Rattus norvegicus: one gene and its partner. The main gene of each other region encodes a partner of the protein of the gene in region 2 in a complex. Each region holds a gene or a part of one and is shown on either strand. Other genes may lie near its edges.

Region 1 (3,820 bases), on a different chromosome or scaffold from region 2:
TATCCATTATGACTCTACATGGCAGGAAAAACCCAAATGACAACAGAGAAAGGGTTAACAGGTCTCTCTCTATTTTGCAGATAGAAAAAGTCTAAATACCCCAAATCCTACCTTGACATTGAAACCACAAGCTTTATTCACCTTCTGACTTTCAGGACTTACTTGAGTTGGGCTTACTTCTGTAGATGATAGGTGCTATTGGGAGAGAAATTATGTGCACATTGCAAGTATTTTTTTTCACATTCCCAAAGGACCAGAAAAACAAGTTTACCGAATGAAAATCCTATGATCTACTTGCTATAGGGTGGGGTTGAGAGCTATAGTTGATTTCCCAAAAGAAAGGTGCCAAAAATTATATTCCTCTTAAAGGCCAGTGTGTGTGTGTGTGTGTGTGTGTGTGTGTATGCCTGTGTGTGTGGGTATGTGCACACGCGTGCCTGTGTGTGTGTGACCTTGCACGTTCGTGTGTGTGTGTGTGTGCCTGTGTGTGTGCCTGTGTGTGTGCCTGTGTGTGTGGGTATGTGCATGCTCGTGCCTGTGTGTGTGTGTGTGTGTGTGTGTGTGTGTGTGACAGAAAGAGATGCTGAAAAAGAAGTGAAGAAATTATTTTCTGTGGAGCAAGTTAATTGCTGTTTCTCATTATCCTTACAGGTGTAAAGACTCCAGGTGACAGTTTATGTAAAATGAATTAATGTTTTGTTTGTCAGAGTATATGATTTTTATATATACATATATGCATATATGTATTTATGTGTATCTATGAATGCATATTATAAATACAAATTTCTTAATGAAAACATTTAAAGTCTGTCTTGGTCCCACATTTTTTTTCACCACTCTTTTATGTGAGGTCATGATCATCTGCAACAGACTGGGAGTGCAGAGATTACTCACTGCGCAACATTTTCTCCCCCCCCCCCACCTCCCTGCAACATCGTAGTTCAATCCCATTTTCCCCAATGGACATTTTCCTTGCTTAGCAAGGAACAAGGTAATGTATATGGTACAAAGTATATGGTGAGGGGCATAAGCATTAAGAGAAACAGCTAAGATTTCCTTGGATGGGATTTACACAGGTAGATATTAATGAAGAACCTGCCAAGCACTGGCAGTGATTCTGAACTAAATTAAATATCCTTCAACTGCAGAATGTCGCCTGCTGTGTTTGTTGGAGTGGGTGCCTGTCAATTAAAATAAGGGGTCTGTCTCCATCACAGTGTGAAGTGTCTTAGTCACCTAGTACCATCTAACAGGAAGCAAGACGCAAAGGGCTCGGCGCAGAAAAGAAACAGACACAGAGACATGTTTTGCAATGACGAACTTTATGTCGCACCAGGAACCAGCAACCTGTTCATGTTTAGCAATTCCGTGGTATGCTGTTAACACTGCTTGTCAGGTTAAGCTGAGCAAAGAGACGGGATAAGAGGCAGCCTTGAAGACTTTTCCATAGTCCTTTTTAAAATATAAAACTGTCACCAAAATGACTTCGGGAAGCTAATAAAAAGGCTCGCCGGATACCCTTAGACTATCCTCTTAAACTTACGTGACCATCAGCAACGCTGTTCAAATTCAGCCAGCAGCTGTTAGACCAAGACATAGATCCGCAGTGTGTTATCTCCCAGAGTTACGAGTGTTCCCTGAGACCCGCCGAAAATGAGGGTCGGTTTCAACGAGAACATAATAGAGATCATTTGCAATCCCCCCAGCCCCGCTCCCATTACTTCGAGCCCTGAGCCCCCTCCCACTTAGTCAGAGTCCGATTTCTTAATAAGGTGAACAGTTAGCATCCCCCTACTGGATTGCACCCTTCTCAGTCCAACCCCTCGACCAGAGACCCCTACGTTCAGTTTTACTCCTCCTCCTTCCCACCCTTCCCTGTTCTCCTCCCCCTCCCCTTACTTCTTGAGACCCCACCCCAGTCTTACTCTCACAGCTTTCCCTGAACGCGAGGGTCTCTAGATCCTTGCCTCCCTCTAGCGCCTACATCTCGAGTGCTGTCCTCCAACCTCCTCCAGACTCTGGGGTTGCATTACAGAAGCCTGCGTTCTTGTCTCCTTTCAGAGACCCCCACCACCCCGCGATTTGAGCGCTCTGAGTCGCTTCTCACCACCCTTCCCGAACCAGTGCGGTCCTCCAGGCTGCAACCATCCGGGACCTGTCCATGCTCCCCGACCCCATCCTCCGCCCAAATCTTTAAGGTCTGCGCTAGCAATGTCGCCCGGGGGCTCCAACTTACCGCTAGCGTCCGGGAGGAAGACCAGGCAGGTCGCCGCGGCGGCAGCTAGACGAGAAACGGACTCGGCTGCAATCGCCCAGCGGAGCCCGCGGCAGTCAGTGCGCTGCTCAGCGCTGCGCGCCGCAACCTTGCGTCTCAGCAGACGGAAAGAAGGATGGAGGGAGCTCGGCGCGAAGGACAGCGCCGGCAAGTCGACCTCCTGTGGGCAACCTGCGCCCCCCGGAAAGGTTTGGCTGGGGATTGTTTCACTACCCTACTCTAGCATAGTAACTGACACCTCCAGCATCTCCGCGCCAATCGCTTCTTCTTTCTTCTTTGAAGGCCCCTAACTAACTACACTATTCTAAGCGGACGAAGACCACCACCGGAGCACCACGACGATCTCCACGACGCCGACGACAATCGATGTGCAGAACGAAGAAAAGTTCATATGTAATAGGAAGGTAAGGGATAGACAGGCCAAAGGAGCAACCAAGATTAACAATCTTGCTGCTCCAAGGGCTCAATCATTAAGATCGGTACACCTAAGGAAGCTTCCTCAGTGAGCACCAGAGCGCCTACCCAGAGCTGGTGAGGCTGCACCGGGCTCTTAGGCAAAACCAGGGATGAGGGGAGGAGTCACGAGGAGCCAAGAAGAGCCAATCAGTGCTCAGGGTTACACTGCTCCGGGCCTGTTTGGACCAGAATCTTTGTGATTCTGGAATCTGCTGGCAGGGGAGCCTGAGACCCTGTGGCGTAGGTGGAGAAGTGATTAATTTGATTCATAAGGTATAGGGACTCGGGGAAACTGAGGTCATTCATGGCAACAGAGAGGGGATGGGAAAATTCTTAAGATCGACCCTCAAAATTTAAACTTTAAACACATACTGCAGAAAGAGAGAGAGAGAGAGAGAGAGAGAGAGAGAGAGAGAGAGAGAGAAAGACAGAGACAGAGAGACAGACAGAGAGAGAGACAGAGAGAGAGAGAGAGAGAGAGAGAGAGAGAGAGAGAGAGAGAGAACAAGACACACAAGACAGACAGAGAAAGAGGCACAGAGCATGATGGACATGTAGCGAGAAAAAGAGACAGAGAGGAAAGACACATAGACACATACACGCAGATAGAAATAGAGACAGAGATGGGGGAGGAGGAGCTTTAGTTCCAGGAAGAGACTTTCAAAGTCTTATAAATTTCACTGATTCATAAAACTCCTTTCAGAGGGTCTCCAGTCCGACTGTCATTCTTCTGTCCATCAGGAACAACTGACTCTGACAGGATCAACCATTAAAGGCCACAACTCGGTTTGATGGCCGGATATTTCACCCCAGCCCCTACTCTTAAATTCAAAGAGAGAAAGGGAGCCCCTTGACTTTCAAGACCTTGGAAAACAATTTTTAATTCATTCTTGATGTCACCCCGCACACTCTGATAAGAGCTTAGAAATAAACCTTGAATGTAGTTCATTCGGTTTTCTCTGGGAGCTGAAAATATCTCCAACAGAAATTGGGAGGCACAGTTAGCTGCCCAGCCACTTCAAGGGCTATCAAGGCATAGACACAATAGTCAAGTTAGGGAGAAATAAAAGCTCTCTTTTGACAACTGCC
Region 2 (3,600 bases):
GGGTCACCTGTTATAGGTTCTAGGCTGGTTGGAATCCTGCAGAGCCCCTAGTCCAGGCTCTTGCTTTTGTGGTCATCCCACTGTGTCCCAGCAGCATCCATCCTAGCTAGAGGAACTTGTCTCTCAACACACAGAGCCATGGGTAGCAGGGGTGGCCAGAGGGGCCTGAGGTTTGGGAGGTGACTTAATTCTGTTCCTGTGACAGACATCCTGGACTATTATGAGGCTTGCATCTTAGAGAGTCAGGTAAGGTGATGATGGTGGGTGCCTGGCTTCCTGACTGCTCAAGCTGGCAGGACTGGAGGGATGAGGACGTTCTTGCTAATTTTAAACTGAGACTTAGGGGCCTTGGCAACAAAATCCCTAGTACTGACTGAGGAGTCGGGGGCACTGACAGTGCTCTTTCTGTGGGCAGCCAGCCCTGTACCCTTTCTCCGTTCTCCCCTTTCTTGGCTTGCCCCAATTTCAGCACCAGAAAGTCCAGGTCATAATTAATTACTTTTCAGACTTCTTCCTGTGACTCCTAGGGGAGAACTAGGTCCCCAAGGTTCTCTAATGTTAGCCCCTCCCTCAGCCCCGTACCCCGTGGTGTGGCCTCCCTCCAGCACTCAACCAGCCAGGGATGCTCTCATCTCAGATGTGGGCCTTTTCCCTCTAAGGAATGAAATCCGTCCTCGTCTTTAATGTCATCATCGAGGTTAGCCAGGTCTCCATGTTTGCCGTAGGGCCTCTCTGCTTGTGCTTCTATCTCCTTTCCCATTATCCGGGTTCCTGCCAGCAGTGAAGGAGTTAACACTGCCAAGGCACCCCCCCATTCTGGCTCCTAGCTCCCTCCCTCCCTCCCCCTGCTTCCTCTCTCCTCCTCTCTCCCCTTCCCTCCTCGGCTCCGCGGCTACATCGGCCGCTGCCATCTCCAACCCCCCCCACCCCACTCCCCCGCCACGGCCCCTAGCCCCTGGCCGTTTGGCAAGACCCCCGCATACCCCGGGGCTTCCCGAAATCCAGATCCCCTCCCCCACCCCAGCTCATGCCCCAGCCCCAGAACTCCGGGGCTGCCAGCCCCCTGTGCCCCTGCCCCTCCTGAGAATCGGGGTGTGCTCCTCAAGCCCCCTCCCCTCCACTGGGGAGCCCCCTTTAGGGTCCCCCCTCCCTTCCACGCTCCCCTACCCTTCTCTTCTCCAACCTTCTCCTTCCCCTCTCACCCCTCCCCCCATCCTGGCCCCCCCTGCAAAAGTGGGGTGCGGAGGGGGGAGGGGTGAGAACCCACCGAGGGGAGGAACAAAACTCCAATGAAGTCAGAGCCCCCTACTCGCCGCCGCGGCCAGGCCCCCCAACATGGACTGTCTCTGTATAGTGACAACCAAGGTAAGCATGATGGGGGGAGCAGTGGGGAGGGGGAGTAGGTAATGAATTTGTGGAGAAGGCTTAGGTAGGCCTTATCTAGGGTTGCAGGCACTGAAGTGAGCGCATCTAAAGTAAGATGTATTAGAGGGGTCACAATTTAGTTTTGGGGTTCACATCTGAGAAAACGATGGATTTGGTCCACAGGTGCCTCCTGGAGTGATCATTTTGTACCTATAAAGAAATGGAGAATTTGATTTGGTGTTTGGGGTGTCTTGGTGGGCTCTGGTGTTCATCAGCAGTGTTTTGAGGGCAATTTATTTAAGGAGAAGCCCGCCTGCCTCACATGGGAGTTCTGCTCATATATGTGGGAAGGTGGGCTATGTGAGTGTGTTAGGGGGAGGGTTGTCTTCCTTCCTGGGCAAAAAAGCTCATTTCAAGATGCTGACCAATTGACCAATTTTGGGGGGGTGTCTCTTGGCATAAGGGTAAAGGTTACTGGTTGTGTCTGGCTTGTCTGGCTGTGTCAACTAGCAGGTAAGGGTGGGCCTTCAGGTAATAAAACATCTTGTGCTAGACATGTTTGAGATGCTCCTGATTTGAGGGAATTGTACATTTAGGGTTTAATTATGTGGAATAGAGTGAGTGACCTGGGAGTTTCCAGAGGGCTGAGGCCTGATGCAGCCTTACCTGAGAGAATGGACCAGGTGGGATTAGGATTCAGGGTACTCCCATGGGAGCTAGAAGGTTGCAAAGCTGAGGTTGTCATCTCGTAAGAAGGATGAGAGGTGTGGGGTAGGAGGATAAAAAGAAGGTAGTTGAGGAGGGGGACCATGTGGGTGGTACAAAATTTGGGGGTAGCCCAGGCAGGTGCCCACTATTCCCATCTCCCACATTTTATCTAGCCTTGGTCAAGAGAACAGAATAGCAGATGGGGAGGGGGGCTGTTACCCTGACGCTTGAGAGGACACCTGGATCTAAGGGTCTCTGAAGGCTTGTGAGGTGAAGAGGCCACTGGGGTAAAACGGTATAGAAAGAGGGCAGGGCTGGCGGAACTGGGATCCATACAGGGTACAAGGGTGTCCCTGTGGTCAGAGCCTGGAAAGAGTGGGAGATCTGGGATGAAAGCCCAAGAAGCTTAGGTCGGTCGCTTGCTCCCAGACTCTGGGACTGGCAGGCTAGATGCCTGGTGTGAGGAGGGAGGCTTGGGCGGGCGGCAGGCAGCTGGGGGTTGGGGGGTGGGACAGGAAGTGGGGGCCGGGGGAGGCGGGGTCCGGGTGAGTCACAGGCTGGGGAGGGGGTTATATTTAGTGGGAACTGCAGCTTCTTATGGAAGGAAGCTGAGGACACACATGTTCCTTGCCACAAACTCACACATGTGTATACACATGCATTGTGCACGTGTGAACATGATTAGAGATTGGGGACTGAAGATTTCAGGTCTGCATCCTTTACCCCATCTACAGGGCTGGTTGTTTTTCTCCTGGTCTGTGGATTTTGGGCTTTCTTCCAGGCTGCTGCTTCTCTTATCCCCCGTAGTTTTCAGTAGATTTTTGTGCCTCGGTTCTTCTAGCCCTCTTTCAGTCAGTGTCTGCCTGTGTTCTTTGTGCCTTCTGTCCTTAGGCCTAATCCCTGGCCTTGGCAACCTAGCTGTCATCACCTTTGTACTGATGTATATAGGAACTCATTGGAATGTGTGAGTTCTCCTTCTAACATGAACACATGAAATCCAATAAGGGTGAGGGGCTTAGTAGCACTGGTAGCTATTCTGAGTGGATGTGTCTATTCATTTCTCTGCTCCAGTTTTCAATGTGTTCGATGGAACACATGATTGAGCAACCCTGAAGGTAGGAGGCTTGCCTAGAGGATCATGTATTCAGGTCTTACTGAGGTTTGGAGACCCATGTTTGCAACATTCATTGGTCAGAAAACTTGTCAGCCTTAGATGGAGGGACTCCAACTCCCATAAGGCCTTGAGGTACAAGATCCTTCAATAGTAGAGCGTCGTGGTCCACAGGACTGTTGGGAGTTGTGGTTCCTCTCTATCCAGGCCAGTTGAGGGTGGCCCAGGAGAAACCAGCAGGGGGCACATGGCTTCTGCCCTCCGAAAATGCTGGGGAGTGGGATTGGGAGTGCTCAGCCTTTGTAGTCACTGAGCTCTCCTGGTCTGTTTGACAGCCTTCCCATTTTTCGTTGCCTATATTTATAAATTGCTGCAGTAATTTAAGGAACATTTTTGAATACTTAATATATGTTCAG

Evidence for each region.
Region 1: the proteins of Dlg4 (region 2) and Htr2c are in contact, whole or in part, in an NMR structure (PDB 2MHO), measured with the Rattus norvegicus proteins. Residues at the interface, in NP_062567.1 of Rattus norvegicus: Gly74, Leu75, Phe77, Ser78, Ile79, Ala80, Asn85, Pro86, His87, Ile88, Thr97, Lys98, His130, Val134, Leu137, Lys138; in NP_036897.2 of Rattus norvegicus: Val452, Val453, Ser454, Glu455, Arg456, Ile457, Ser459, Val460.

What each region holds. Positions count from the first base shown.
Region 1 is NC_086039.1:115,451,821-115,455,640, reverse strand, and holds the start of Htr2c (5-hydroxytryptamine receptor 2C precursor), read right to left. Parts: upstream 2,452-3,820; 5' UTR 2,237-2,451; intron 1-2,236. UniProt on the Homo sapiens protein: G-protein coupled receptor for 5-hydroxytryptamine (serotonin).
Region 2 is NC_086028.1:55,238,505-55,242,104, forward strand, and holds the start of Dlg4 (disks large homolog 4), read left to right. Parts: upstream 1-1,279; 5' UTR 1,280-1,335; coding exon 1,336-1,365; intron 1,366-3,600. UniProt on the Homo sapiens protein: Postsynaptic scaffolding protein that plays a critical role in synaptogenesis and synaptic plasticity by providing a platform for the postsynaptic clustering of crucial synaptic proteins.